Bombyx mori: one gene and its partners. The protein of the gene in region 1 binds, or shares a complex with, the protein of each later gene. Links are inferred from orthologs where the notes say so. Each region holds a gene or a part of one and is shown in the gene's direction. Other genes may lie near its edges. The genes, in order: protein CWC15 homolog, pleiotropic regulator 1, beta-catenin-like protein 1, cysteine-rich PDZ-binding protein, protein crooked neck, pre-mRNA-splicing factor ATP-dependent RNA helicase DHX16 and pre-mRNA-splicing factor SPF27.

Region 1 (3,970 bases):
TTTTGAATGTATACAAGCACAATAGCAAGACATAAAATCACCGTTCATCAAGTCAGCACCAGCGTTCATTATGACTACAGCTGCTAGACCCACTTTTGATCCTGCAAGAGGTGGTCAAGGCCGAGGAGAGAAAGACTTAAGTGCTATTTCTCGACAGTATTCCAGCAGAGATCTTCCTGGTCATACGAAACTTAAATACAGGTTAGTTTAGTTTTATTTCTCGATCTAAATTTGGATTCCTATTCGCGAAGTTGGACTTACGACCCGCGTGGTGGTAAGTGCTTAACGGACCTCATAAAAAGCCATCTTGAGACAAGGTAGAGTACTTGAATTATTGTTTTAGAAAATACGCTACCCTTCAAAACCACAATGTATAACTCGTTCAAAGCATAAATACCACGTTTGTAATGCACCAAAATGTAAAGAAAAAGTCAAATATTAAAATCTATTTTAATAGGGAATCAGGTCAAGGGACATCTGAGGAATTACGCTCTCGTGATTTTCGTAAGGAGTTGGATGATAGAGAAAAAGATGTTAAAACTACGACTACAAAACGTACAAGTGAACCACAAGCAAAAAGAACTAAGGTTGATCAAGTTCCTGCAGCAAGTCTTGATGCTGATGATCCTCTTGAAGGCGATTCCACTGACTCTGATGATTCAGATGATGATACTGCTGCATTGCTAGCAGAATTAAACAGAATTAAGAAGGAAAGGGCCATTGAACAAGCTAAAAAAGTAAGATATATCTTAGATACTAGAGTTAGATACTATACTATAAGACTATTTTTGTACTGATGTACACAAAGTATGTTTAAATTAAATTTTACAATATATATTTTTTTTAATTTGTCTAACTTTAGTGTACTTTAGTGTATTTTGATACCCAAACTAAATAAAATTCAAATAACAAATAAACCTTGTTGCACAAATCAATTTTGTTTTACCTTATAGGAAGCTGAAAAGAAACAAGAAGAGGAAAGAATTAGAATGGAGAACATATTATCGGGTAATCCTTTACTCAACTACTCCGCTGCAGGACAGAAGAATGACATGAAGGTAATTAAAAACATTAAAATGAATTTTGTTTTAACTCCTGATAACTGTTTGGTGATTGAACTGAACTGCAGATGTCATTGATGTTGTATTTATCAATGTTGAAGTAATTGTGCCCTAAAAGATAAAGACTCCCGGTGCATTTGTATAAAGCTATGTGACTGTGCCGGTGCTCTCATCCTGCAGACAGGTACCAATGGTAATGAAATATATACTTAACGTAAATTGACAAATGATTTCCATCATGAACAAATAGTGTTTAATAAAGATCGAACCCACCAAAATTATAATTTGCTTAATGAATGGCAGTAGAATGGGGTAGTAATGTGTTTTCGTTTGGTATAAAATCTGATATTTAGAACTCATGTCTCATAGTGGGTGACAACATTTAAGATGTCGATTTCTATGGGCCATGAACTTAATTCACCCATCAAAGGAATAAAAAAAGTGTAGATGACCTTTAGTTTCTGCAGTGGGTAGGTATTCATTTGTTGTAGTACAAGTTCTTCATTCTGGCTAGTCAGTTTCATGATACTACATTATTAAATTACACATTGACCAGGATTATCTTGATAAATAATTTAAATGCATCTTTTAATTGGCATTTGTTGTTTTGCTGGTGTTTTGTTTTTGTTATTTTGTTATTCCATAGTAACAATACTATCTGTGTTTTACTTTTTTTATGGCATATTTATGTGTTTGTATGTTTATGTATGTGTTGTATGTTTCTGTTCTGGTACACTATGGTACTTTTCAAATCTGTTTCAAGATATTATTTTTCATTCTTCCAAGTATGTCTAGCATTGTCTTTTTGGTGTTAAGTGGTTATAAACTTGGGTCTCACTTAGATTATAATTATTCAGAGCTTTTGTTGTGTATTGGTATTTTAGATATCCTTGCCATATGATAATAATATGATGTGTATTGAAACATGTGCAAATAATATTCAATCAGTATCTGTTTTGATATCTCATTGGTGAAGTATACTGACAACTACCAGATAACCCTTTTATACCAGGTTGGCCATAAGTTTGTTCACCTATCTATGCTATAAAAATAACTATTAAAACGTATTGTTGCTATTGTTTTCGGTTTACTTGTATTTGAATCAATATCATTGATACTCCACAGGGAATACTTTAATAATGCACAAAAAAATTATTTTTCCTTTCATTATGCATATGTAGCGGCAGATATTGAGGATTCAAGACTATTAAATAATTTCATTTAGACTTTGGTTGATTCATTATTTTACATTTTCGGTTCTATAAACACTGGTTGCTGTTTTGACACCACAGGGACTGTGATTTTGTACACCCACTAATAAATACCATACAAAAATGCAAAAGTAATTGAAAGTGATTTTAAGAACATTAACATAATCTGCTCAAGCATTGGATGAATCCGGTATTGGAACGCCCAGAGGCACCACTCAGCACAACTCGTCATTAGGCCTCTACATGATATCATTAGAGAGAGACTGACTGAGTTATGAGAGTCACAACCTTCATCTATGAGGGTCGATTAAGAAGAATTTAAGAAGTCGTCGTGGCCTAAAGGATAACTCATTCGGTGCATTCATGTTGAGCGATGCACCGGTGTTCGAATCCCAGGCGGGTACCAATTTTTCTAATGAAATACGTACTCAATAAATATTCTCGATTGACTTCCACGGTGAAGGAATAACATCGTGTAATAAAAATCAAACCTGCAAATTTTAATTTGCGTAACGACTTGTGGTAGGATCTCTTGTGAGTACGCGCGGGTAGGTACCATCCCCTAGCCTATTTCTGCCGTGAAGCAGTAATGCATTCCGGTTTGAAGGGCGGGGCAGCCGTTGTAACTATACTTGAGACCTGAGAACTTATATCTCAAGGTGGGTGGCGCATTTACGTCGTAGATGTCTATGGGCTGCAATAACAACTTAACACCAGGTGGGCTGTGAGCTCGTACACCCATTTATGCAAATAAAAAAAAAGGACAATCGTAATATTATATCTATATTTTTTTTGGGTTGTTCCAGGTAAAAAGAAGATGGGATGATGACGTTGTTTTCAAAAATTGCGCTCGTTCTGAACCGGAAAAGAAACCTAATACTTTTATAAATGACTCATTAAGATCAGAGTTCCATAAGAAATTTATGGAAAAGTACGTGAAATAGTAAATCATTATTGATATTGTAATTCTAAATTTAAAGTTGTTAAAAGCGATTCTATACCTTATTGTAAGCGGAATAGTGATAACGAAGTGGAAATGCTACTATGGATATTACAAACACGTAAAGAAAAGATTGACGAAAACCAATATAATTTTAGTAAATATTATGAAAAAAATGTCATTTTGTTGTTTTGAATAAATTATATGAAAACAAATAGTATTTTATAAAGTTTATTTTCAAGTTAATGTCACGTTACTGATAAAAAGTAATGTTTGTTTCCTCAACAACAGATAGAGGTCAGTTCATTAGCATAATGTGTCTAATTTACTCATATAACAACGAACATTGCTTTCGGGTTCGAAATTTGAGACTCAACTTCTGAGTTTCAGTGGTAAAAATCTTGGTAGTTGGGGTATCCAAACTAAATTAGGGAAGGTATTAAAGAGATTAATTTACAAAAAATTCAAACTTACTGCCCCGATTTGATAATCAATACGCCACCCGTTAAAGTACATAACTGCATTGTTAATGGTAGTAATAAATAATTATTAAATTAACTTATTAACATTCGGAGTTCGGACTGACCAGACTGACGTGTCCGGCGAAGTTGAATGTTTTTATTATTGCGGCGTTGTGAGTGAGGCGTGAGAGGGGAGGCAGTGGTAAGTGCGGAGCAGGCGGCGGCGGCCTACCTTGAGTGGGCAGGTCCACAGCTAGATCCCGCGGCTGGCCATGACGCGTCTCACATCTCGTTAAC
Region 2 (4,251 bases), on another chromosome or scaffold:
TCAATGTTGAATACGAAGACCCGGCGCCCCTGATAGAAAATTACAGCGATAGAGCTGAGGACTACTTCCGTAACGGTATCGAGACGCTGCGCAGAACGAGACCGCTCGTGTCATCGCCAACCAGGATCGAACGCCCCAACTTGCCTCCTCTGAACCTTCAGCCGAGGACGCTGCGCCGCGCGCCCCACTCCCGCCGCGTTAGCGACGCTAATAATCCAGAGAAATCGGCCATCTGAACCGAGAGTGGCGCGGTATTCTCCGTCGCCGATACAACTGAAATCGATTACGATTGGCAGTCGATTGAAAATTCGAACGTTGACCGTCTCGTTTAACAACCGTACTATTGACTCTTGTTTCACTGAGTGTAATGCTTTTTTAGTTTTGAAAAATCGTCGTCGAAATTTCTGGTAGTTCAGTGATTAACATTCGTTCATAAATACTAAAATGCTCTTTTACGGTAATTGTGTGTTTATGTAAATATTGTGTATGCACTTATTAAGTATTCCAAGTCTGTGTGTTGAACAGTACAATGTGCTTAGTACCATTTGTATGGAGTTGGAACAGCGCCTTTAGCGGCAAACGCAGAGTAACTGCCCCAGCTCCATACAATTTTGAGTAACTTTTACACGATCGAGAAGTTAAAACAACTCGCACCAGGCACACTGTACAATGTAAATAATACTTTGGAGGATGTTTATTGTATGTAATTTAACATAACAAATAGCTATCATTAAATCAATAAATATTCGAAAACTAGTGAGCAGCTGTATCTAGTCTAGTTTCTAGTCTGTAAGCACAATTTCTAGTCATGTTCGTACCTACTTGTGAATTTAGAGGTAAATATAGATATAGTCCACTGTGTATTTTATTGAAAATCAATTCCACAATTTTCTTCGCAATGAATTTTTATGCTCGAATTTTGTACTTATGAATAAAATCGACGTTGTGTAAACAGTGTTTTTTTCATTTCTAGGAGCAAACTCTAATTAAATTATTGATAAAATTCTGAGCCAAATCCGTACTTTCTATCCGTCACAACAAGCATAAACAACAAACAATAAATTTTTTCTTCAAATACCCTTTAGTATTTCAGCTCAATAAGAGGAATTTAAAATGTTTGTTTTAAAACAATTAAAATGGTAATTTCAAAAAATCATAATAATTATGTTTGTTGCAGGCTAATCGAGATTTGCATTCATTTGCCCAAATTTTTTATTATCTGTACAGTGACACTTGACAGTGACGCTGCTCATACCGTCCATTTGACGTTTGTTTGACGTAGGATTTATTTTGTAGGAAAGTTGTTGCTGTTTGTTGTCGGGTATTTCTTGGTCTCGACACCGTTAAAACCAAAAAGCTTTTCGTAAGAATCATAAGGAATATGCATTAATTAAAAATAAAATTGAATTTAAATGCTGATTTAATATTACAAGTTAATAGTATTTCGTATTCTTTAAGTAATTTTAGACATTAATTAATAACTTCATAATGTCTGAGGACGTGATTAAACATTCTGTACACACTTTAGTGTTTCGATCGTTGAAAAGATCGCACGATATGTTCCTAGCTAATCAAGGAATGTTGCCGCCAATCGACGATAAAGCGTAAGTAAAACAGAATAATATTATTTGAGGTTAGTTTAATACAAGTCCTAATGGAAATAATCGATGAGCTATTTCAAAGATCGGTACAATAGACAAACTAAGCGATTTGTTGTTCCGTATCAAAAAATTTCTGCTAAACCTTTAAAACTTTCTACTGTACTGGAGAAAACCTTTATGGGAGCAGACAATGTTGTCAAGGTAAATAAATTAGAGGAAAATGTCACGTTATGTATAACTACATAAAACACTAGAGTAGATAATTATTATTTATAATTTTACATTAACAGAGAGAAAGTACTGAAATTGGTTAAAGCAAGAGATAGTTACGGACAAGTCATGGGTGCAGTGCGGAAGGCTCAGGCCCTGAAACAACAAGAGTCTGTCACCTGTAGACCTGAAACTCCACTGACCACAGGTAAAAACAATTAACAAACTCCTATATACGGTTAAGCGCTTAGGCTCAGGATAAATAAAACTTCCACTGAAGTACATATTAAAACTCTATTTAAAACTAAGAACACTTACCAAACACTTTACAATTCGTAATTCACTTCTTCCGCTTCGCTTCAGGTGATCCGTTTGCTGTTTCGCTTTGAGTAGATCCTTTTAATAACTGCTTTCATGTCATCTCTGCAACGCTTTTATAGTCAATACGATATCTCTACAAAAATCGAGAACATTCCAGAAATATGGATCAAATACAGAAACAAAAAAAAAATTATTCATTTTTATGGAATTTTTTTTACAACAAAGTTGCATTTTCGTTATGATAAAAAAACAGCAAGAATTTAGCTGTGGACCTCATGAGTTCTATGCTCATTACATTCAATAAAAAATCGGTCCAATACTCCTTGATATTGCAATGAAATAAATCGAATGTTTTCTTTAGCAGAAACAGTGGAAACTGCACCTTTGCCGTCGGAAGGGGCTGTTGTCCCATACTCTGGACCAACACCTTCACCGTCACCAGCTCCCCCCTCGGGGGCTTTAACTGTACCACGGAAACCGCCGTCTATGCCCAAACCAAAATGGCACCCACCCTGGAAATTAATGCGTGTTATATCAGGTCATCTGGGTTGGGTTCGATGTGTTGCTGTAGAACCTGGAAATGAGTGGTTTGCTACCGGTAAGTAAAATTATAGAAACCACATACAGAGCAAACTAATGGCATCTAATATGCCAACATTTAACTAATATATTTAATCCTTTTAGTATAAATTAGAAGAAGGATATGTGGTAAGAATTATAATTACAAATTTGTCAATCTTAAAAATTTTATTAATATAAAGTTTGATTTTTACATATTAAATATACTTATTTATAAGACTTTTTTATCAATACAACACAAAACATAAACTTTGACAGTTAGATAATCAATATATTGTATTTGTGTAGACAAGCTGTTGTCCTATGAACGGTTGAAAAAATAAACTTGATTTATGATTAAAGTTACTTCATTTTTCTGTTATAATGAACTTTTAGCACAACCATTACAATAAAACCAATCCTAAGGAATTAATCTGCATGATGGTTTTGATATTTCAGGTGCCGCTGACAGAGTGATAAAAGTATGGGATTTAGCAAGTGGGAAACTAAAAGTATCTCTCACTGGACATGTGAGTACAGTAAGAGGTAGGTGCGCACACTTTTTGTATTCATGCAAAAATCAATGCTTGGTTTTCAGATTTTGAATAATGAACGCATTTTTCTTTTATTGCCCAGACAAGCACACTGCCCACCTGATGGTGAGTGGTTACCGTCGCCCAGGAACTTCAGTAATGCCATGGGCTTAGCCAAGCCGCTGCCTACTAAATTAGTAATTTTTTTAGCATCATCAGCCTGCGGCAGTCTGCTGCTGGACATAAGCCTCCCCAAAGCTCGCCACTAAACCCAATCTTCGGTTCCTTAATTAATTTAGTAATTTTTTATTTTAGTAATAGTAGACATTTTTAATTTTTTCAAACTTTTGCTGCTATGTATATTACAGAATTACATAACAAGTTCTGATCATAATTTTCACATTAACACAGTTCTGGATATTTCATCATGTTGTACGCACAGAGACCGTAGGTTGAGTCTATGTTAATTGTGAAAATCATGATCTAAGAATCCATCAAGTACCAGTATGTGTAATATGAATATATTCTATTTCAGGAGTGGTAGTGTCACCAAGACATCCATATTTATTCAGCTGCGGTGAGGACAGACAGGTGAAGTGCTGGGACTTAGAATATAACAAAGTGAGTTATTGACCTATAAATAACAAAAAAATATAGGTTAAATGATATGTCTTTAAATATATGTAAAGAAAACTTTTATTATTTAAAACTATTTAGATTTTAAAAAGGATTTTTCTTCAGTGTTATTCAGTGTCATGGAGTGAAGTGAAAAAGAGAGTTCAGTTTTGTATAGTTTATTATTAATAATATGTACTGTTTACTCTTTAATTGAGGTTAAGGGCTTTATATGTTGCTTTCTTACTATATCACAGAAACCACAACTAATTCATTATTGTTTATTCATTCTGAAATACTCCATATAATTATATGTATATAAAGCAGATGAATTTTTGTATTTAGGATCGGTTCGTTGTGTGTGCAGGTGATCCGGCAGTACCACGGTCACCTGTCGGCCGTGGTGTGTCTGG
Region 3 (4,305 bases), on another chromosome or scaffold:
TATTTCCTCCCGATACCCTCTCCGTGCTTTATAGCATTTCGAGCACCGGTCGACGTTCTTGTGGAAGAGTTCGAACGTACAACCCACAGACACTACCTAAGTTTCTTGGAAGATCTTCAGTTCTGCAGGCCGCGATTTCGATCCTGTGATCTTGTGATTTAGCAAAGCACCACTCTTTTTAGACTTGGTGTTAGAAATTCCATCAGGTCGAGAGTATGAGGAATGGGTCTGGGTCTATTTAGCTTTACTAAGATGTGCTCCGTGAGGCGGTACAGTCATTGGATGCACGGCTGTTAAGCACGGAATCTAATGACTGTACCTTTGCCTTTCGATGTGACGAAGTTCCAGAAGCGTTTCAAGCGAATCAAACGTTTATACAATTTGTCTATTGCTGGAAAGATGCTAATTGGATAGTAACTCGTGGGTTCGTTTAAAGTTTTTCTAGTTTTCGGGTATGCCGATAACCTCTGATCCATACCGTGAGACAGATTCAGCTCGCCATAGCGGCATTTAAAATGGAGAACACAATTATTAGTTGAATAGGTAAAAATTTTAATGTTGTGCAAGCTTTCGGATCTAGGAGCTGTCCGTGATTGCAAGTTTTTTAAGCTATTTATTATGGCATTACTGGTATTTTAAAGGGCTCACTAACCGAGAAAACCTTTATTTACACTTTATCTTTATCTCAATTACATTTTCCACCATTTTACTCAGAAGTTTATTGTAGCCTTTCTTGCCATATTCTTTCGAGTTTCATTTTTTCCTCAAAAGGCACATACATTTTTGCAGAAAGAGTTTAGTACTTTGCAAGAAATTCATCGTATCCCTTCACCTGTATAATTGGATAAAAAAAGAAATGGTGAAATAGTTGTGTAGGTACTATCTAGTATCTATTTTAGTGGTATCTTTTTTACTGGTGGTAGGACACTCTTGTGAGTCCGCACAGGTAGGTACCACCGCCCCGCCTATGTCTGCCGTGAAGCAGTAATGCGTTTCGGTTTGAAGGGTGGGGCAGCCGTTGTGACAATACTGAGACCTTAGAACTATATCTCAAGGTGTGTGGCGCATTTACGTTGTAGATGTCTATGGGCTCCAGTAACCACTTAATACCAGGTGGGCTGTGAGCACGTCCACACATGTAAGCAATAAAAAAAAAAACTATGCATAGCTCATAAATTTAAAAATTATCTTCCAAATAAGAAGATATGACCTAAAGGTCTCTTGTCACCAGGTCACAAAATTAAAAAAAAAATATCTATGGCATAATATTAAAACCATAGATTATACACTTAATATGATTAAAAACAACAAAAAAAAAACCTTTGAAACTAACCTTAAAAATAGGGACTTTTATGGACATTGAGAAGTTTGAATTAAAATATGAAAACTCAGGACAGTTAAAAATATCACCAATACGTAATAAGCCCAAAAATTACCTTTTCGCTTAAAACAAAAAATGGATGTTGCCGAGCTATTGACATTCAAAGTAATATTCTATATCATAACGGTGCAACAGTTTATTTAATTCAACAAAAAAACGAATAAACATAAATATTAACTTCGCAGCCTACGCCAACACCAAAACGGCCAAATGAAGATGAGAGCGATGAGGAGGATCAAGCCAAAAGTGCTAAAATTCGTCGTACCACCAAACTTAAACAGGAACCTGTACATTTGAGCAAGAATATGTTGAAGGAACCCTCGATTACTGATAAAGAACGAGAAGATATTCTTAAATTTGTTGCCACTGAAGTAACAGAGGTAATTATTGTATTATTTGTAAAATTAAGGAAGAATGAAACAAAAATTAATAGTTTTTAAACCATCCTGTATATTTTGCTGTCATCAAAGGTAGATTAGGCAATCCTGTTTTCAAATGGTCTTTGTCACTTATGGACATTAATGCTAATAGAAAAACCAAGCTAACCTCCGAAGTTGTCATTGTTCACACATAATTTAAAGAGGGACATGTAACAGATGAATTATAGAAATCCCAAATGAAAAGAGTTCATTTTATGTATTAATGCAATAAGTAGGAGTGAATACTCCTCGGGCCCTGAAAGATGCAACGGAATAAATAAGATCATACTCATGACAGACATACATAGAAAGGGCAAGATGAAAAGAAAATTAGTTTATTGAGTCAGAAGCTCTGAACAATTTTAATTCATAATCTGAAATACTTCTTAATGTTTATTCAATTAAGATAGTGATTATAAACTCATAAATGTATTGAATCTACAGGGAGAAGTACTAGATGAAACCACAGTGAAGAAACTAGTTCTCAATTTTGAAAAGAAAGCACTTAGAAATAGAGAGATGAGGATTAAATTTCCTGATCAGCCAGACAAGTTTATGGACAGTGAAATTGATTTACATGATGCATTACAGGTATAATATTGTGTTATGATATTCAGAAGAATCTGATACTAACTTCATTATCAGCCCTCAAGGCTTTGCGCAACCATCCTATTTCTGTTGCAATTTAGTTATGTGTTCTGTTCTGAAGTATTAAACAACTATTTCATAATATTATTGGAATTTTGGCTGCATTAGGCTCTTACATAATACTATTTTGGCTGCATCAGGTGGGCTATTCACTCATGTATGCCATTAAAAAATAAAAAAAATCATAAGAATTGTAATTATTACAGGATTTAAGTGCTGTCGCAACAGTACCAGACCAGTATCCTCTGCTTGTGGAATTAAAGTGTGTGAACTCATTATTAGAATTACTATCACATGATAATACTGATGTCTCCACCAAAGTTGTTCAACTGCTACAGGTATGTATATGCTTATAAATTTTGCAAAACAATATTGCTGGGCTCAGTATCCAGTGTAAGCATGACTAAGATAAAAAACTCATGTCTTCTTTCTTGCCTATTACCCTCTGCTGGATTGTAGGGCTCGGGCTTCTTTCTTTTGTATCAGTCTTGGGCAGTCTATGGGTTAAATAAACTCATGCAAATCATTTATTTGTGTTTCCAGATGTTGTGCGTCATTTTCAATGAAATTACATATTTATATGTGGCAATACTGATATAGAGTATATGACAGTTTCTGTCCGTAAAATGTAGGTTACAAGAAAGGGTTTAACCTTTTAAAAAATGGTCAAAAATAAAAACTGACCCAATTATTACTTCTATATCTTTTATCTCAAACAAACATCTATGTTATAATGCCAGGGGCAGAGCCAAACCACTGCCTACTGTACCAAAATAAATAATGATGACATTTCATGCAGTTATTGTCAATATTTAAAAAAAATATTTTGCCATAGTAATAAACTAGTAATAAAATTGTAATTCTGATAATATTTACAATTGATGTACCTCAGGAAATGACAGATGTTGACATACTCCATGAGAGTGAGGAAGGTGCGGAAGATTTAATAAATGCAATGGCTGAAGCTGAAGCACCTGCATTATTACTACACAACCTGACTCGATTGGATGAGCAGGTACCAGATGAACGAGACGCTGTCCATAATACACTGGGTATGTCAATATATCATATAAGAATTTCATTTTAACCATTTAACTACAAACTAATAAATATGATATGTTATGATAGAATGATAAATATATAATGGCAATAACTGAGATAATGAAATTTGTCTTATCGTTTAAGGTATTATTGAAAATATCACAGAATTCAGACCAGAGCTTTGTATTGAAGTAGCAAAACAAGGATTTTTACAGTGGATTCTAAAAAGACTGAAGGTAACCATACTAATTTTATTTAATTATAGCTAAAATTGAACCAAATCTAAGATGCTTTATCAAGCATGTCTGCCTTCAGTGCAGTCTTTTATCCTAGTGTGAAGAACTTCACAAAAATATTCCTAAATATATAACCAAGAAAGGAATGTACTCCAAATGAGAACCTTCTCTTCATCCAAAGCTCCTAGTCGGAGCCACAGTCAAATGTTCCGTGCAATAATTAGCATGCCGTACATAATGCATATAAATTAAATAATATTTTTTGTAAATAATGCTAACAGCATTTAGAGGAAAGTTTGTTCGTAAAAAAATATGTTTGAACTATCGAATTTGTAGACAACGCTCGCATATTGACCTTTACACAGTTTTATGTGCTCACAATAACCACTGAAGAACTGCCTGACTCTTGATATAAAACTTTTGATTTAACAGTTACTTCATATGGATACACCTAAACACCGCTCCAAAATCATATTTAAATACATTTATTTCACAGACATACGCTTGCTTTAATTTTAAAATGTAAAATTATAGTGACAGTAAATCATTCTTACAGGTTAAACTGCCTTTTGATGGGAAC
Region 4 (4,456 bases), on another chromosome or scaffold:
TGAAAGCCCTTCGGGGCTCTTTGTACCATCAGCTTCCATTTGCTTCGGTTTTCGGCTTCTCTCAGGGCGTAGATACTTAACTAACTTTAATCAAATTACAGCACATCCCACGCACTATACTCCAGCCGACAGAAGCGTACCCTTTATTGCTTCCTCTCCCGGACACGACGATCCCGGAGATCAGTCCCCCGGAGACACCGGACATACAGACCGAACGGACAGAGAGCGACTCCAACCCGAGCATCACGACCACCAAGAGCCTACAACAATAACCGACGAACATCAATCTCAACCGATGTCCAAAGATGATGAAAAACCCTACAAAAATCAAAACGATGCACCAATTAAATCAGAAAGACCAATGGACGTAGAGCATAAAGAACAGACTTATCAAGAGGATGCGAATTTCATTGGACAGGAACAAAATTACGAAGCAACAGAAATGCAATACCAACCTGAATACCAAAATAATTACGAGGAGCCGACTTACGCAAACGAACAATATGAAAATTATGAACAATATCAGCAATATGCTGACCCCAACGCGCAATATAGCGAAGAACAATACAACAACATAGCCGAAGTCAACTACCAACCCGAGCAGAATTACGAACAAAGCTATGAGAACACAGCGGAGGCTCCACAAGAACAATATTACCCAGAGTCAAATGACACAAATCCAAGTGATGCTCCAACGAAAATGGCGGAGGAACATCAGAGTTAGCAATTCGTATGTTTTTATTTCTTGCAACATTCCGTTACAACGCTTTTGATAGAGTAACGTGCCACTAATATAGATTAGCTTTCGGCGTCGGATAAATAAACTATGAAAGTTGAATGTGTTGAATAATAAAATCTATTGAAATGTTTATCGAGAAACGAGTTAATAAATCGCTCAATACTTATATTGCAATTGGATATGATGTTTTATTTGATGTTTTTTTTATCTACAGGGAAAACGTGATTATTTTGTTTTTTTCTTCAACTTAAGCCCCATGATCTCGATTTTGTCTTGACGGTTTCTAAAACAATATACAAAGTACTTAAGGGTCAGGGTGCGCACAGAAGTCGTGTAGGACTATGCGATTTATAAGTGGCACGAGTTGGCTTCGAACCTATTTGGACTGCCAAGCAGTTCTTGTTTGCATGAGACCGACGTTACACTATTTAATTTGAAGAAAATACAGCACGAAACATTAAGGACTATTTGGCGGGCACTCAAGCTGTTACTTTTTAATTTAATGTCTCTTCAGGCTTAAAATTTACATATTAATCGATTAGAATTCGTAAAAGTACATTGAAATATTAACCGTAGTCTTAGTGAAAAATAGGCCGTGGCATAACGGGCCCTTCCAAAAAGTCCGTGGAAAATAGGAAGAATAAGTCCGTCTTAGTAAACCAACTGTCCACCCATTTGATTGCAAGGTATTTTCATCTCATCTAAGTCCTGACCGTCTTTTATATTAATTCATTGAATTTCATTTTCTTTATTCAATTTAATTCCAGAACCAATTCAATTTGTATTATGTATTGTTTTAGTTCCACTTTTAATACCACAGACACGGAACCGCACTTCGGTACAAGTTTTGACTGTATGGGCTTCATTCCTGTTGCCTATCCAAATGACAATTCAAAAGAAAACTATTAGTAACAACATCAACTTAAATAAATTTTATTTCTAACAAATATTAAGTGTATTAACTATGATTTCTTAATAAAACTAGCTGTTCACTAGCAGAGCATATTTTAATATTTGATAAGTAATATTTAATTAATATAACCTACATATTATTCAGTCAAAACAACAATTTAATAAAATTTCGTACTAATACAAGCTCGTTAGGTTAGTAAGAAACAGAACAAAAATGGTTTGTGAGAAGTGCGAAAAGAAATTGGGCAGAGTAATAACGCCGGACCCTTGGAAGGCTGGAGCTAGGAATACCGTGGAGTCCGGCGGACGTGTTGTTGGAGAAAACAAAGCATTAACCGCCAAAAAAGGACGATTTAATCCGTACACTTCCACATTTCAACAGTGCAAGTGAGTAATCCTGATGTTTAAAAACCAATTTTGCCTCATACATTCTTAATAATACTTCCCCAATTTTACCTCATACATTCTTAATAATACTTCCCCAATTTTAACTCATACATTCTTAATAATACTTCCCCAATTTTAACTCATACATTCTTAATAATACTTCTCCAATTTTAACTCATACATTCTTAATAGTACTTCCCCAATTTTGCCTCATACATTCTTAATAATACTTCCCCAATTTTACCTCATACATTCTTAATAATACTTCCCCAATTTTACCTCATACATTCTTAATAATACTTCCCCAATTTTAACTCATACATTCTTAATAATACTTCTCCAATTTTAACTCATACATTCTTAATAGTACTTCCCCAATTTTGCCTCATACATTCTTAATAATACTTCCCCAATTTTGCCTCATACATTCTTAATAATACTTCCCCAATTTTGCCTCATACATTCTTAATAATACTTCCCCAATTTTACCTCATACATTCTTAATAATACTTCCCCAATTTTAACTCATACATTCTTAATAATACTTCTCCAATTTTAACTCATACATTCTTAATAGTACTTCCCCAATTTTGCCTCATACATTCTTAATAATACTTCCCCAATTTTGCCTCATACATTCTTAATAATACTTCCCCAATTTTACCTCATACATTCTTAATAATACTTCCCCAATTTTAACTCATACATTCTTAATAATACTTCTCCAATTTTAACTCATACATTCTTAATAATACTTCCCCAATTTTGCCTCATATATTCATAATAATACTTCCTAATCCCGAACGCTTCAGACAAACACACTAAATACTGCTGGACTTTTAGTTACCAATATGTAAAATAACAATACAATAAAAGTTAGTTGTTACTTGTTTGAAGGATGTTTTTTATATTCATTATCCCTTCTTCTCTTGAGTGATTTATTTAGTACACTACATGGGTAGATTAATAGGGCCATAGATGATTGTAATGTGTACGTTGTTTTTATATGAAGAGATGCAGTTGAAGATTTATTCGAATTTAAAAATGGCTCTCCTTTGAAAATGGGACAAATTTATGGTTGCAATAACTAGGTTTGTGGAACCTATTTCAGTACATTACACCATACCACCTCCACCTCCTCGTGTCGTTTTCCTCATTACTGAACTCCCCCGCTGCATCAGTTTCTTCCGTACGATTTCCCTCCATCTGCTGCGATCCTTAGCTTCATGAAGGACATTGTGGAAGTTGATGTTCAGAGAAGATTGTATTTAGTCCGACCATCTCGTGGTACTGCATCCTCTTGGACGTTTGCCATCTTCCTTTCCTGTCAGCATCAGCTGTTCTAGATTGTGACCCTCTTTACGGGCAATATGTCCGAAGAATTCCAGCACCCAACGAAGGCATATATTGGAAAGACTAGTTATGATATTAAGCTCTCTCAGAATAGTCACGTTGGTGAGAAAGGCATTCCATGGAATCTGTAACGTTTTTCTCCAGCTCCACATTTCAAAGGCGTCTATTAGGTCTAACCATACCTCCAGTAAAATGTATTAAAAGTTTTTAAAATATATTCTTTTATTTTTCAGAATCTGCAGAACGAAAGTACACCAGGTCGGATCACATTACTGCCAAGCTTGTGCATACAAAAAGGGTATATGTGCCATGTGTGGAAAGAAGATTCTAGACACTAAGAATTACAGACAGAGCTCAACTTAGTTTATTGTTATGTTATCCTAGTTCATAAGAAACATTACCTAAATAAGTTCTAAAAGAAAAAATATAGTGTATTTGTAAAGCAATGCTTTATATGCCTTGGACTATTTTAAGATAATAATAAAGATACTGGAAATTTCCTCACGGATGGTAAAGTGTGATTGCTTCGAGGAATAAACAGATAGGATTGTAATGCCAACCTATGAACACCCACAATTAGCGGTACTACAGATAATCAAGACTTGAATCCAAGAAATCGGTTTCAAAAATGAAATGAGAATAATTCTAACACTCATGAATGATGACAAATTATAATGATTGTTACAAGTTGTCATCTGTCCTATCTATGTTCTAAATAATCTGAATAATTCTGAATATATGTTTATTTATTTATTTATAACTTTATATACTAAACGGTATAAAGGACTTAATGCCATAGGCATTCTCTAACAGTCTACCTTAGGGGGGTGCAGAGATGAACCTTGGTAGGTGTAGTGTGAAGGTGATATTACTTAAACATATGTGTATATGAGTCGTCTATTATCAAAGGTGGCAATCTGTGCATTTGGACAAAATATTTTTATTGATATGTCAATACAGATTGATTTGAATATAATCGTCTCCTTCAAAGAATACGGTTCAAAACCTTCACTAAATAAAGGTTAATAGTTAACCTGTTATTTATCTAAGATTTCGTTCCGAAGA
Region 5 (4,539 bases), on another chromosome or scaffold:
CTCATGCACCAATATTGGTAGCGGCATTGAGGTTGTGATGTCCAAGAGCTCTAGTCACCACTTATCAGTTGGCCGTTTAGGTTTATCGACATGGTTTATTTAGAGGAGCATATAAAGACTCTAGATATCGATTCTCGATTTTTTCAACAAATCCATTAAATTCTCATTGCATTATTATTATAGCTTAGCCAACTAAGCCAACATATTTAAATCACCTCTTAGTGTCTATGGTCTTCCTGTTTAATTTAATTTCTTATTAAATACGTTACATTTGTTCCATTTCATTCTTCGTACAATATTTTCAGCCTTAGTTACAAAATATTTGCTGTATGGCCTAGTTACTTTTGTCTGTCCAATAAACGAACTAAACATTCTCTGTGGTTCGATGGCTTAGTTTACATATTACGTGTATTATCTGTGCTATTTATCATAGATACCTACCTACTTGGCTTAAAAAACTTTGTTTCGAAGCCACTAGAAATTTATAAAAAAAAATCTACCTACTACCTACATATCACTACTAAAGATGGGTTAATACCGATATTTGTCAATATTAGCGAATACGAATATATTCATGATGTAATATTATAATAACTTAACTAATGCGTGAATATATCCTGATATCTTAATATACTTCGATAAAACGGGTAAACGAGTTAACCGAGTACGGTATTCGTGAAATAAGTTAATAATCATAGATAATACACATAAATTAGTTATTAAATTAATATAAATAGTATACTGTATCTAGGAATTTGATTTCATACTAAATATTTTACAAGTAATATTATGTACATTAATATGAATATTATTATTAAACCAGAATTTGGTCAACATTGTACATTAATATAAACAACAAGTTAGTAATATTATTTATTTCTTATTGGTGCATAAAAACATCAGCTTTTTTACTTTTTCTACCGAATGACCGGTACGTCGCTCAGAAATGAGTATTCCAGATTTCGAAAAAATCCTCTGATACGGTACTGAGGTGGCTAGTAGGTACACAACAGTTATATTAATAGTATAATCCATGAACCGTTTGGTTAGAAAGTCATTTCGATTCAAAAATCAAACTTTTATTTATAGTTTGAGAAGTTCTTAGAAGATAATTAACTACTACCACAAAAATATATTGTCATCATAATTTATTACATATAAACATTTAATGAAAATAAAGCTCACCGATTTTATTCCAATAAATGTGGAAATGCACTATTTTGTCTTGAGTCGAATCTTTAGTACAAACATAAAAAGTAATGCATTTAAAAATTCCCACTGGCATCTTTGACATGTAAAAAGTGCAATACAAAATAGTCCTTAAACTCATAGCGAAATATAGTTATTTTCATTGCTCAGTATATAAACATGTAGATTATCTCACTTACTCTTAGCGCATGCAGTGCATTGATATGAATGTGATAAACAGATATCCGCGAGACACGTACGGCGTATGTCAGTATATTTTCGTGTGATAGATATTTCGCTAGGAGTAACAGTGTTCTGTGGATAGATACAACCCGACTGATGTGAGCTGGCTATTATTATGAATAAGTGAATACGGAATATTAGCATATCAGAATTCGACGGATTACCGATAGACGAATACAAGCTGTATTACGAATATCTTAGTGAATGCTAATATATCGGTATCACCCTTAACCACTACCTACCGTATTCACTTCTCTTAAAAATGTGTATAATCTATGCTTCTCATTTTGACAATAAATAAAAAAAAAACCTGAAGATTTCCTTTCCTGTACTTAGCTGTTTATTGTATGTAATCAAATTAAATTTAGGTTAAACTGAACTAAAAAATTATAAACTGTGCAGAACGTAGAACTTAACATGGACAGCAAGACAACAAAAATGCCGAAAGTGGCAAAGGTACGAAAAAAGTGTTTGATGGTATTGTTGAATAATATTACTCCAATTTTAACATGGATCTCACGATTTTTAGGTGAAGAATAAAGCACCAGCAGAAATCCAAATAACAGCTGAACAATTACTTAGGGAAGCCAAAGAACGAGACCTTGAGATATTACCACCGCCACCTAAACAGAAAATATCTGATCCTGAGGAACTTCGAGACTACCAACATCGTAAACGTAAAGCATTTGAGGACAACATAAGAAAGAACAGACTTGTAAGTAAATTCAATTTATTAGTCGCTTACAATGTATAAATGACTGTTTTTCCTATTAATGTAATTGTTTCTCAGTTTTAAGACCATCCAATGCTTAGTTTTACTAGCTGATAGAGTTCACCAAATTAATTTCATTAATTGATTTCGTGCCATTACGATCCTTTGAACAATATAGGTTTCATGCTGTTTCCACAATAAGAAGGGTACTAAACAATTTCTACTCAGAGCATTACTGACGAAAACCAGATGAGGATACTTTTATTTAGTAGTATTTCTTCAAGAAAACAACAAATAATATAATAATATCGAATTTTAGTTTAATGGATGCTTTGTTTTTGTTTTCAGGTTATTGGGAACTGGCTTAAATATGCACAATGGGAAGAATCACAAAAGCAAATCCAAAGAGCTCGTTCAATATATGAGCGTGCTTTGGATGTGGATCACAGAAATGTTACCTTATGGTGAGAGCTATCATTACAATTAACAATTTTATTTGAAAAATTATTAACTTATGTGCTCTTGGTACTGCCAGTGTTTAAACCATATGACTATTTTAAAAAATGTTTGAGAAATCTGTGGTGTTAATTTTTTTTTGCATTCTTGGCTCATCTGATAGTAATTGTTAGTCACACTACTGAGTACTCTTTGTAAGCCTCATTTGAACAAGGACATATTGTTGGATCACTCAAGACATGGGCTTTAGAACAAAATTCATGTCACAGTGAAGAAAAAAATTAATTCTTAAAGAGTTACCATACAAAGATCAGCTTATAATAGAACATATAAAAAAGATTCCTATGTCACTCTGTTCACATTACAATTTTATTTGGTTAGTAAACTTGTAGACAATTGTGGACGAAATGTTAAGATGTTTGATATACTTGTAATGACCAATACAACTATACTAGAGTTCATAGCCTTTGTGCTACCTAAAGCCCAATATATTTAAGGAAATACATACCCGATATGAAGAAATTTCATAAGTAAATAAGAACAAAGTGTCATTACAAAATTGATACTCTATTAATGTATTGTGAACTGGCATGTAATATATCATCCTGCCTATTTCAACAGTTATGCATTTGGTTTGAATTGTCCAACAGTTGTTTTATAAAGGAATTGAGACTTCAATCTCAAATTGATGCCTATTTAGTCCAAGAGCCACTTATTTAACAAATAAAACAATCTGTACTTTGAAAAATCTGTAAAAGTCATGGACTTTCTTGGTAAATTTCTTACAGTTTTAACTGTTAAATTTGCGTCACTCTTCAATTATCCACACTACCTTAACTACCTGTACTTTAGGCTGTTATACCACACCAAAATATTCTCAGCGTATCATGGGTTTTAGGCTGAAGTATACTGAAATGGAAATGAGGAACAGACAGGTAAACCATGCCCGTAATCTATGGGACAGAGCTGTTACAATTCTGCCAAGAGTATCTCAGTTTTGGTACAAATATACTTACATGGAGGAAATGTTGGAAAATGTAGCTGGAGCAAGACAGGTGATATTTTTTATACATGTACAATTTCTCGTATAATGATAATAGTCACTGACTGTAACTGAAACAAGGTTTCTAATTTACTTTTGTTTCACAGGTATTTGAACGTTGGATGGAATGGCATCCAGATGAGCAAGCTTGGCAAACATACATAAACTTTGAATTGAGGTACAAAGAACTTGAACGGGCTAGACAAATCTATGAACAGTTTGTTATGGTGCATCCAGATGTAAAGAATTGGATAAAATATGCAAAATTTGAAGAAAACCATGGTTTCATAAATGGCTCTAGGACAGTTTTTGAGAGAGCTGTTGAATTCTTTGGTGATGAAGAATTAGATGAAAGACTGTTTATAGCGTTTGCCAAATTTGAAGAAAATCAAAAAGAACATGACAGAGCAAGAGTGATTTACAAATATGCTCTGGATCATGTCCCAAAAGACAGAAATAAAGAACTTTATAAAGCTTATACTATTCATGAAAAGAAGTATGGTGATAGATCTGGCATTGAGGATGTAATAGTAAATAAGAGAAAGTATATGTATGAACAGGAAGTTATAGAGAATCCCACAAATTATGATGCATGGTTTGATTATATTAGATTAGTGGAGAATGAGGGTAATTTAGATGACATAAGAGACACATATGAGAGAGCAATTGCAAATATCCCTCCTTCAAAGGACAAACAATTTTGGAGGCGTTATATTTACTTGTGGATTAATTACGCTTTATATGAAGAGTTAGAAGCAGAAGATTTAGATCGAACAAGACAAGTTTACAGAACCTGTTTAGAATTAATTCCTCATAAGATATTTACTTTCTCAAAAATATGGCTCATGTATGCTCAGTTTGAAGTGAGATGTAAAGATTTAAAGCAAGCAAGAAAAAC
Region 6 (4,347 bases), about 3.3 Mb from region 1:
GACTGCAGTACTATCTGTCTTCTTATTTGACTACTAGCCGCTCTACCGGATTTAAAGAGTTTTGCACCTAACTCGTATTATTATCAATTTAAAATACGTTTAGATCAAAATAAGGAAAAAAGAAAACAGAATATTTATTTTCGTGCTTTGTTCGTCTTGGTGAGAAGAAATCGAATCATCTTGCCACTCGTCTTATTGGAAGTGGTCACTACAAAATAAATGAAATTAATAATTTAAATGTTTATGCATTGGTTGCATGTAATTCATATTTTTACGTAGACATTAACAGGACAAATTTTAATGTAACAAACCTCTTCGCCAGTTGGTCCGTGTATTCGAAAATTTAAATCAAAATAATTTTCAACCAAAGATTTGACTTTAGAAGAACTAAAGGCTCTTACTTTATCATTTAAAATGAGGTTTCGAGTTGTGACGCTGAAAATGAGTGATTAATAAAATTAAATGTTAGAAAAATTACTCACATGACTTTATATTCTTCTCAGCCGCTAATTGCAATTATTTTTAATTGTGATTAATCGACTAATTTATAAAATACCAGCTATTCCAAGTAGCTTTACTTGCCACACAAAGTAAGCGCATTTTTGAAGAACATAACATTTACTTAGCCGTCCATTCGAAATATCGTAGCGCGATATGAGAAACCGATAAGTCGCAAGTATAATTTTACAGTTGGTATACTTACGTCGCCATACGATCAACAAAACGTAGCATAACTTAATAAAATGATACTAAAAACAAACTGTATATATTTGCTATAAGGAAACAAAGCAGAAAGTATTGCACATAAACCGTATTTTTATTTTTGTACAGGACGTGTCATTAAAAATATATGTAAAGAACATAGGTAGAGAAAACAATCACTTTCTGGTATGAAAAGTAGGTTTACATATTATTATAAATCCTCTTTTCTCAGTTTTACTTCATGCTGTACTAAATTACAGGATCTTTTAAAGATTTTAACGGAAACTTTATCTTTTTTATCTACGGATATCTACAAGGCATTCACAGCTTTTACAGCGCGTCCTCAAGGATGCCAATCTGCTCGCGCAGCTGTTTCGCGAATGAGTACATATACATCGAAAATACTCGCATAAAATATTAAATTATTGTATGTTTTTATTCCTGTAAATGAACAGGAGCTCGTAAAGCATCTAGTTTAAGCGGTTGCCACTAAAGCCCATAAAAATCACAAAACAAGATTATATATAATTTTGTTCTACTTCTAATTATTTCGGTTCGTTTTATTTAATTTTACTCTCAAAAGACGTGTCTAACTAGTCTGACTACATGTACGGACTATGTTCCCTTTGCTTTATAAGTGAACAAAACATGTCAAAGTCAAAGTGAAAAATAAAACAATCAATTTTACTAAGGAGACGGTGTTTGATGGTTAGCACATGCGAACGACTTTTCCTTTTAATTTTTAATTGTTTGTGTTTTTGGTTATATTTTTTGCTGCCTATATCTATCTGTGTTTGTTTTTCTTGTTGTGATTGTCAAATTTTGTGTGAAGTCATAAGGTAAGTTTTCATTTATTTAATCTCGCGTAGTCAATGCGGGCCGATCATGGAGGTTGACGATCGACCCCCTGGACGTCCCCCAGATCCTAGTTTAACCTGGAACGATGAGGGACAACATCCTCAGGGTGATTTTACATACTCACCAGTCCTTACTGTACCATTAACTAGTTTCGAGTCAATTGAGGCACATCATCGTAAGCGAGCTCTCGAAACCAACAATGATAATGATCTTGCTTCGTCTACTTCCAAACAACAACGACCGTTAGCACCTAATAAGTATAGTCGCGAACGCTATTCTGCGAGGGATGTGGCTCCATTTTTGGTCCATGTTACTCGTACAGAATCTGACCCGAAATCGGGAACTACCCTCCACCCCATTAAGTTTGGACAGATGATGATCAAACTTAATATTAAAAATGTTCTTCCTGATGGAGTCAAAAAAATAGGTCGGAATAGGATTGCTGTCCAGTTTAAATCTCCAGAGGATGCAAACTCATTTTTGACCAACAAAGAATTGCTAGAAAATGGATACTCCTCATTAATCCCGACTTATAATATCACTAGGATGGGTATTATTAAGGGTATGCCTAATGACTGGTCAGAAGAAGAGATAGCTTTAAATATTAAGACACCATCTGGTTGTGGCGGAATACTGAAGGTGAGACGCATTAATCACAAAGTTATTACTGATGGGGTACCAGAGTGGAAACCTACTTCCTCTGTGGTTCTTACATTTGATGGTCAGACCCTCCCAAAACGTGTCTTTTGCTGCTTCAATTCCCTCCCTGTAGATATATATTATTTCCCTACTGTACAATGCTTTGGATGCTGTAAATTCGGTCATACAAAAACTCAATGTCGCTCAAAGCCCCGCTGTTTCCGCTGTGGTGATGAACACTTTGGTGAGAACTGCACTAAAGAGGACCCAACTTGCTTTTATTGCTCTGGACCTCACTGTGCTAATAGCAAGCAATGCCCTGAATACCAGAGACAAAAAAATATTAAAGTTGCTATGGCCCAGAACAACATCTCATATGCAGAAGCATCCAAAACATTCCCTACTGTGTCAAAGTCCTTTGCTGATGTTTCAGCATCAGTCCCTCCCACAACTCATATTATTCCTTCAGCCCCCTCGTCCTTACGTTTCCATCCTCAGACTTCCTCTTCCTCCTACAGAAAAACGATCCTCCAGAAGCCTAAAAGTCATGCCCCTCACGTCCCGGGCTATGATCAAAGAACCCATAGAGCTATTACTAATTCCTACTCTTTTTCTCCCTCTACTAATGGCTGCGCTCTCAGTAAAAATTCTTCTCCTTCTGAAGATATTCCCTCTAGTGAAATCTTCTCTCTAATTAAACTACTAGCTTCTCTTTTAACTAAAATTAACCTACCTGACCACGTTGCCAATGACATAATTGACACTATTTTTTCCCACCATAATGGATCTAAATCTCTTGCAGTGGAATGCCAGGAGCGCCCTCCCAAAAAAACATGACTTTCTCCATTTAATCAATTTATATAATCCCGCAATCTTTGCAATTTCTGAGACGTGGCTCTTGCCACATCTCCCATTTCACATCCCAGGTTATAGCACCTACCGTGATGACCGTGATGACGGGTATGGTGGTGCTGCTATACTGGTCAACAATGTCTTCCCTTCTTCTTCTCTTTCTCTTCCTCCTCATGGAGCCGAGATTAATGCCATTGGTGTTAACATCCTTGGTATTAATTTTATCTCCATTTATTTCCCTCCTTCTGTCCCTATATGTATTCCTTTCCTAAGAAATTTATGTATTTTATTGAACCCAATTATTCTTATGGGAGATTTTAATTGTCATCACTTCTTGTGGGGATCTGACCATTGTGACGCTTCAGGTACATATTTGGCAGAGCTAATAGATGAAATAGGGTTATACGTCCTTAACGATGGATCAGCCACTAGACTCCCTAGACCGGGTCAAAGCAGAAGCTGTGTGGACCTAACACTGTGTTCATCCACACTAGTAAATTCCCTAGACTGGAAACGTCTTAATTCAACATACGGTAGTGATCATTACCCTATTTGTTCTACCTTTTCCAATAGGTCTCTCCCCAGCAAAAATAGAACTCCCTTATTGCAGTATCGCATTACTGACGCCAGGTGGGACATTTACCAACAGAATCTAGATAAAAGAATCCTTTCCTTTCCCCAAATCTCTTTTGACAATTTGGATGCTTGTTTGAGTTTGTATTCAGATTCCATTTCAGCTGCTGCAGATCTGAGTATTCCCTTGAAAAATTCAGCTTTGGGAAAATTATCTTCTCCTCCCTGGTGGGACAGAGAATGCACAGACCTTATTAAATCCCGGAAAGAAGCTGAATTTAATTACATCAAGAATATGACCCTCTCCAACCTTCGGGAATTTAACAGAATAGTGGCTAAATCCAAGCGCACATTCAAGAAAAAAAAGTATGAGAGTTGGAAAAAATTTTGTTCCTCTCTTTCACCTTCATCCCCGTCTTCCCTAGTCTGGCAAAATTATAAAAAATTTAGACGCGGATGCTTCCCTCAAAATTCTCCCAATATCTCACGGAGCATCGCCCTACAATTCATTAACAGATTGGCTCCTGCCTATGCTCCTCTTATTGATGAGTGTCCCTCATTGGCAATTAATATGCTCGCTGTTGATCCTTTAGACGAACCTTTCTCCATAAATGAGCTAAATTCTGTACTTAAATATGTCCAGGACTCATCTCCTGGCTTAGATGGCTTTCCCTACTCGTTTTACAAAATGTCTGGTCAACATAGTCGTCAGTTCCTTCTAAA
Region 7 (4,474 bases), on another chromosome or scaffold:
TCCAGAGAAGGTCTTGCAGAAATGGTTTATTATGACTAATGATAGAAAATAAAAACATTTTAGATATCCGTTTTTGTTTACATACAATAATTTATAAAAATATAATCACCTTAGATTCTAACAAAACCATGGCAGCATTAACTTTTTCTAATTTTCTCTCAAACTGCATCAGTTTCTGCTCGCAATTCGTCATAAAGTTATTCAGAAATTGTACATTTATTGTTAGGAAATGATTTACAAATGCCAATGTACGTTTTTGATGTAATGCCGCAACCTGCAATTTGTTTTTTAAATATTAAAAATAAATTATTCTCATTTATAAAAAAATATTGTGTTTTCTAGAATTAGGAAGTTTATAAAGATAATCAAGGCCGTGAAGTTTGTACTGCATTAAATTTTACAACAAATAATAATAATTCCAAATTTAAAACCTTAGTTAAATCCGTTTGTGGGGATTCGGATTGAGTTAAATCTTCTTGGATGGTCATTTTCAGTAGAATATAAACAAGACGAAAAAGAAATTTGTCTTGTGGTTTGGAAGCTTGAATTTGTTTTGTTCTACTGAAAAAACCAAATTGAATTACATTTCAATACATTGACTAATAGGTCCACGAGTTTTAATTACACTAAGTTTAATATAAAAAGCACCTAATTATTTTACAATAACAATCTTTTTCCTTCCGTGACAGTCGTACCTATTTATTTACGTTAAAAGAGTATGTAAGCAAATTAAAAGGAATATTTCAGTAGGTACAGTAGGTACGGTACCACCACCTAAGTCTGACATTATTATCATTAATTTACATTTATCAATATAACACTATTCTTTGACAATAGTGCTACTGTCCACTGTCAATATTTGTAGTAGTTCTATTTTTCCAACTGGAAAGGCAAAAGTATCATACGATACAGCCTAAGTTATCATTGTATTTTATGAAAAATGATAATATGAAGTAAAATGAAATAGAGTTGATTAATTTGAAACAATAATCAATTGGCGTGAAATCTAAGTAAAATGATGGTTATTTACTGAGACTTTAAGGAAACTGCCACCTCGCCCCGGGCAACAGTCTCATCAAAGAGGGTACACACACGCATGATTGCGTCGATGGTAGACCGGCCCTTTCTGAAGCCGTACTGTTCGGCTGACCGATTGGAACCCGTCCTGGGGATGGGGCAGATGACGCATCCACGACTTGCTCCAACAATTTTCTAGTTTCGTCCAGCAACACGATGTGGTGGTACACCACGGATGACTCCTAGAGGAGCTCCTCTTTCCTCAGAAGGATGAATCTGTCCGATTTCCGTCCGGGCTCAAGGCAGGCTTCGAAAAGCCGCACAAGCCAATCCTCCAAAGTACCGAAGGCCTGACCTGGCCACGACTCCGTAGGAGATCTAACAGCTAAGGGCAACTGCTTCGCGAATGTATCTGTAATAAAATGTCTAATTTTGTAGTAATGAAAGCTTTTTAATCACTGAATACATGTGAAATGGCACAAGTTTTAAAAAATCAAACAAACATTGGACGTGTTCACACAAATCATCCACTCCTAGACGTGCAGCGACCGTATTTATTAGATTCCTGCGACTTTCAGTAGGACGTCAGTTCACCTCGTCGAAAGTCTATCTAAGCTGCGTCGTGTGTGGCTGCCACTCGAGAATATTTTCAAAATAAGTTCGTTGATCTCTCAGTAAGCACCATTGTTTCATTATCAACTCATCTAATATCTACTCGATGTGTTCTTCTTTCATTAAATTCCATTTTATAATATAATATTAATTTAATATCAATTTATTGAATATCGAGGAATTCAAAAGATTTAGCTATATGGACTATATTTCTTTTGCCTGTTCATTTTAGGCTTAAAACTAGCTCAAACGAAGAATGTCACACAAGTGACACAACTAAAATCAAATAAACAAAGAACAGCGTTAAAACTTTAATATAAAGTGATAAATCACAGTACCCATTCGTAGTAAAGGGAGTTATAAATTTTGTAGAAAATGGCAGGAGAAGTTGTCGTAGATGCATTACCATATATAGACCAAGGATATGACGATCCTGGAGTAAGAGAAGCTGTAAGTATTATGATAACCTTACTTTTTTTAATTCTTGGACCATTTCCTTTACAACAAAGATTCATATCGCTTTAGCTTTGACATCTAGAGAAAGAAATTCAATAATCATTTTGGTATTGCTGGTCTGAACGACCACACTTCACAAATGTGGGTTATATTCTCGTCTGCTTCAAAATGCGCAGTCACCGCTGAGAGATTTATATAAAAATGTTTTTTTTTCGTTGTTTCTTGAACATGTATGCTATTTCGAAGGACTTCCTTTTTCGAAATGGAATAATTTCACCTTTAGAATAAACCGATTTGTATAGTCTTGGTTCGACCACTGCCAAAGATCAATTTGAAATTAGATTTCTGTTTGTTCCTTTTTGCATTGAGTGATACAAAACGAAGTAATTTTGGTAATATTCATCTTGGTCAGTCTAGGAAATGCAGAACTTCTAGGAATTTTTGCATACACTGTAAGCTACAAAGCACTTTTGCTTCAATTCTTTTTCAATTTTAATGTCAATTTCAAATTCAATTCAATTCACGATTTTATTATTTTGTTTCATTGCTATTGTAATAATTGATTGTGTGACTGGGAAGCTGTCTCAAAAAAGTATTATTAAAGCACTTCTTATTGATACTGCAGTATAAAATGTCCTTATAATCAAACCTACTTATAGAAGACTCCTTAAACTACCCTTAAATATGGGAATTGATTTTCAGGCATTGGCCATGGTGGAAGAAGAGTGCAGACGCTATAGACCCACAAAGAACTATCTTGAAAATGCAGGACCAGAACCAAGTTCTGCATTTGAAACTCCTGCTTTACAACGAGAGATGGAAAGAGTGCAACAGAGATTGCCGATGGAACCATTGTCTATGAAGAGGTGCATAAAACCTGCAATTTTTTTTATTTATTATTTTGTTCTTTTAATTTGCACCACCCACCTTGAGATATAGGGTCTAAGGTCTCAAGTATAGTTACAACGGCTGCCCCACCCTTCAAACCGAAACGCATTACTGCTTCACGGCAGAAATAGGCAGGATGGTGGTACCTACCCGCGCGGATTTACTAGAGGTCCTACCATCAGTAATTACGTAAATAAAAACTTGCGGGTTTGATTTTGATTCTTCTTCTTCTTCTTCTTTGTCGTTTCCTCATTACTGAGGGTCGTGACCACCTTGGTCCAGCTTTTGCACCAGCTTCCTCCAATGCTGCCTGCATTCGGCCTGCTTAATGGCTTGATTTTGATTACATGATGTAATTCCTTCACCATGGAAGTCAATCATGAACATTTGTTTAGTAGGTATTTCATTAGAAAAATTGGTACTCGCCTGGGATTCGAACACCCAGTGTATTGCTCAACACGAATGCACCGGACGTCTTATCTTTTAGGCCACGACGACTTCAATTAAGTTGATAGGTTTGTAAGCTAAGTTGGTATTTGAGTCAGCCTGGCTACTGATGCCACAGTATGAACATGATGATAATGAAGTAATAGTAAGATTGTGAGGAGATATAATATGTAGGTCTGTAACTTTTACTAAGTGGTATCTTGTGATGCTGACTGTTAATATGCCAAATCCTCTGGTCATGTTAACAAACATCACTATTGAGTGATCACGTGATGTAGTGAAGCACAGGAATGTGGTTTTAAAAAAAAAACTATTGAAATATTATGTATAATTAATTCCTCAGGTATGAACTTCCACCCCCTCCAGTCGGAAGAATGAGTGAACCAAGTGCCTGGGCCGAGTCAGTTGACAACTCTCATGCACAGCTGTCACACCAAGCTATCAGAGTTCTCAATTTAGAGTTGCAGTTAGAGTACGGTTCAGAAGCATGGAGATCATACCTCAATACACTTCAAGCATTAGTCACAAGAGCTCAAAACGAACACAACCAGTTACGGTAAGAGATGTATAACATAGAAATTATATTTAAATGGTTGTTAGTTTGACAGGGAGTCTATCTTCGATTATAGAGCCTAGGGAAGTAATTGTCTGTTGCTTTGACCCTTATTGCCTTTCATAGAAACAGTAGGTTAGAACTGCTTGTAGGATTTTATATAACTCCAAACTATTACAGTCAAACCTGGATAAGCGAGAGTTCAAGGGAGCACAATCTCATTCTCGCTTATAGAGGTTTCTCACTAACCCGAGTTTCTCTCTAATGCTCCCTCTGAATTTCATTTAGAGATTTTACGGATTCAAACGAATTCACTATTTTAAGTTTATCACTTAATGACAGCAATTGATTAACGATAAACTGAGTAAGTCTGACAAACAAGATGGTACACAGGCACACGTGTCCATTCGAAAAGAATGCCATAAAATAATAACGTTATTTAGTTCCACGAAATAGAATAGGTTCAATATTGACGAGAAAACAATACAAAAACAATGTTAA

Evidence for each region.
Region 2: protein CWC15 homolog (region 1) and pleiotropic regulator 1 share a complex: the UniProt entries of both Homo sapiens proteins name them as parts of the PRP19-CDC5L splicing complex. The link is inferred for Bombyx mori from reciprocal best matches to the Homo sapiens genes CWC15 and PLRG1.
Region 3: protein CWC15 homolog (region 1) and beta-catenin-like protein 1 share a complex: the UniProt entries of both Homo sapiens proteins name them as parts of the PRP19-CDC5L splicing complex. The link is inferred for Bombyx mori from reciprocal best matches to the Homo sapiens genes CWC15 and CTNNBL1.
Region 4: protein CWC15 homolog (region 1) and cysteine-rich PDZ-binding protein share a complex: the UniProt entries of both Homo sapiens proteins name them as parts of the minor spliceosome. The link is inferred for Bombyx mori from reciprocal best matches to the Homo sapiens genes CWC15 and CRIPT.
Region 5: protein CWC15 homolog (region 1) and protein crooked neck share a complex: the UniProt entries of both Homo sapiens proteins name them as parts of the minor spliceosome. The link is inferred for Bombyx mori from reciprocal best matches to the Homo sapiens genes CWC15 and CRNKL1.
Region 6: protein CWC15 homolog (region 1) and pre-mRNA-splicing factor ATP-dependent RNA helicase DHX16 share a complex: the UniProt entries of both Homo sapiens proteins name them as parts of the minor spliceosome. The link is inferred for Bombyx mori from reciprocal best matches to the Homo sapiens genes CWC15 and DHX16.
Region 7: protein CWC15 homolog (region 1) and pre-mRNA-splicing factor SPF27 share a complex: the UniProt entries of both Homo sapiens proteins name them as parts of the PRP19-CDC5L splicing complex. The link is inferred for Bombyx mori from reciprocal best matches to the Homo sapiens genes CWC15 and BCAS2.

What each region holds. Positions count from the first base shown.
Region 1 is NC_085110.1:8,228,571-8,232,540, reverse strand, and holds the end of protein CWC15 homolog, read left to right. Parts: 5' UTR 1-70; coding exon 71-201; intron 202-457; coding exon 458-737; intron 738-953; coding exon 954-1,058; intron 1,059-3,078; coding exon 3,079-3,216; 3' UTR 3,217-3,427; downstream 3,428-3,970. UniProt on the Homo sapiens protein: Involved in pre-mRNA splicing as component of the spliceosome. Component of the PRP19-CDC5L complex that forms an integral part of the spliceosome and is required for activating pre-mRNA splicing.
Region 2 is NC_085129.1:1,617,336-1,621,586, reverse strand, and holds the start of pleiotropic regulator 1, read left to right. Parts: upstream 1-1,259; 5' UTR 1,260-1,488; coding exon 1,489-1,604; intron 1,605-1,891; coding exon 1,892-2,019; intron 2,020-2,493; coding exon 2,494-2,730; intron 2,731-3,149; coding exon 3,150-3,236; intron 3,237-3,758; coding exon 3,759-3,844; intron 3,845-4,205; coding exon 4,206-4,251. Other genes in the region: uncharacterized protein LOC101740918, read left to right, coding at 1-236. UniProt on the Homo sapiens protein: Involved in pre-mRNA splicing as component of the spliceosome. Component of the PRP19-CDC5L complex that forms an integral part of the spliceosome and is required for activating pre-mRNA splicing.
Region 3 is NC_085121.1:10,823,062-10,827,366, forward strand, and holds the start of beta-catenin-like protein 1, read left to right. Parts: upstream 1-1,253; 5' UTR 1,254-1,456; coding exon 1,457-1,486; intron 1,487-1,566; coding exon 1,567-1,761; intron 1,762-2,244; coding exon 2,245-2,391; intron 2,392-2,654; coding exon 2,655-2,786; intron 2,787-3,340; coding exon 3,341-3,500; intron 3,501-3,633; coding exon 3,634-3,725; intron 3,726-4,281; coding exon 4,282-4,305. UniProt on the Homo sapiens protein: Component of the PRP19-CDC5L complex that forms an integral part of the spliceosome and is required for activating pre-mRNA splicing.
Region 4 is NC_085130.1:5,681,207-5,685,662, reverse strand, and holds cysteine-rich PDZ-binding protein, read left to right. Parts: upstream 1-1,603; 5' UTR 1,604-1,865; coding exon 1,866-2,038; intron 2,039-3,624; coding exon 3,625-3,754; 3' UTR 3,755-3,833; downstream 3,834-4,456. Other genes in the region: drebrin-like protein, read left to right, coding at 102-724. UniProt on the Homo sapiens protein: As a component of the minor spliceosome, involved in the splicing of U12-type introns in pre-mRNAs. Involved in the cytoskeletal anchoring of DLG4 in excitatory synapses.
Region 5 is NC_085124.1:5,696,672-5,701,210, forward strand, and holds the start of protein crooked neck, read left to right. Parts: upstream 1-1,685; 5' UTR 1,686-1,848; coding exon 1,849-1,887; intron 1,888-1,960; coding exon 1,961-2,146; intron 2,147-2,491; coding exon 2,492-2,607; intron 2,608-3,497; coding exon 3,498-3,654; intron 3,655-3,748; coding exon 3,749-4,539. UniProt on the Homo sapiens protein: Involved in pre-mRNA splicing process. As a component of the minor spliceosome, involved in the splicing of U12-type introns in pre-mRNAs.
Region 6 is NC_085110.1:11,489,254-11,493,600, reverse strand, and holds the start of pre-mRNA-splicing factor ATP-dependent RNA helicase DHX16, read left to right. Parts: upstream 1-1,386; 5' UTR 1,387-1,541; intron 1,542-4,347. Other genes in the region: WW domain-containing oxidoreductase, read right to left, coding at 312-435, 704-732. UniProt on the Homo sapiens protein: Required for pre-mRNA splicing as a component of the spliceosome. Contributes to pre-mRNA splicing after spliceosome formation and prior to the first transesterification reaction.
Region 7 is NC_085118.1:940,932-945,405, reverse strand, and holds the start of pre-mRNA-splicing factor SPF27, read left to right. Parts: upstream 1-1,547; 5' UTR 1,548-1,691; intron 1,692-1,861; 5' UTR 1,862-2,004; coding exon 2,005-2,079; intron 2,080-2,787; coding exon 2,788-2,951; intron 2,952-3,763; coding exon 3,764-3,976; intron 3,977-4,474. Other genes in the region: WASH complex subunit 3, read right to left, coding at 110-274, 432-488. UniProt on the Homo sapiens protein: Required for pre-mRNA splicing as component of the activated spliceosome. Component of the PRP19-CDC5L complex that forms an integral part of the spliceosome and is required for activating pre-mRNA splicing.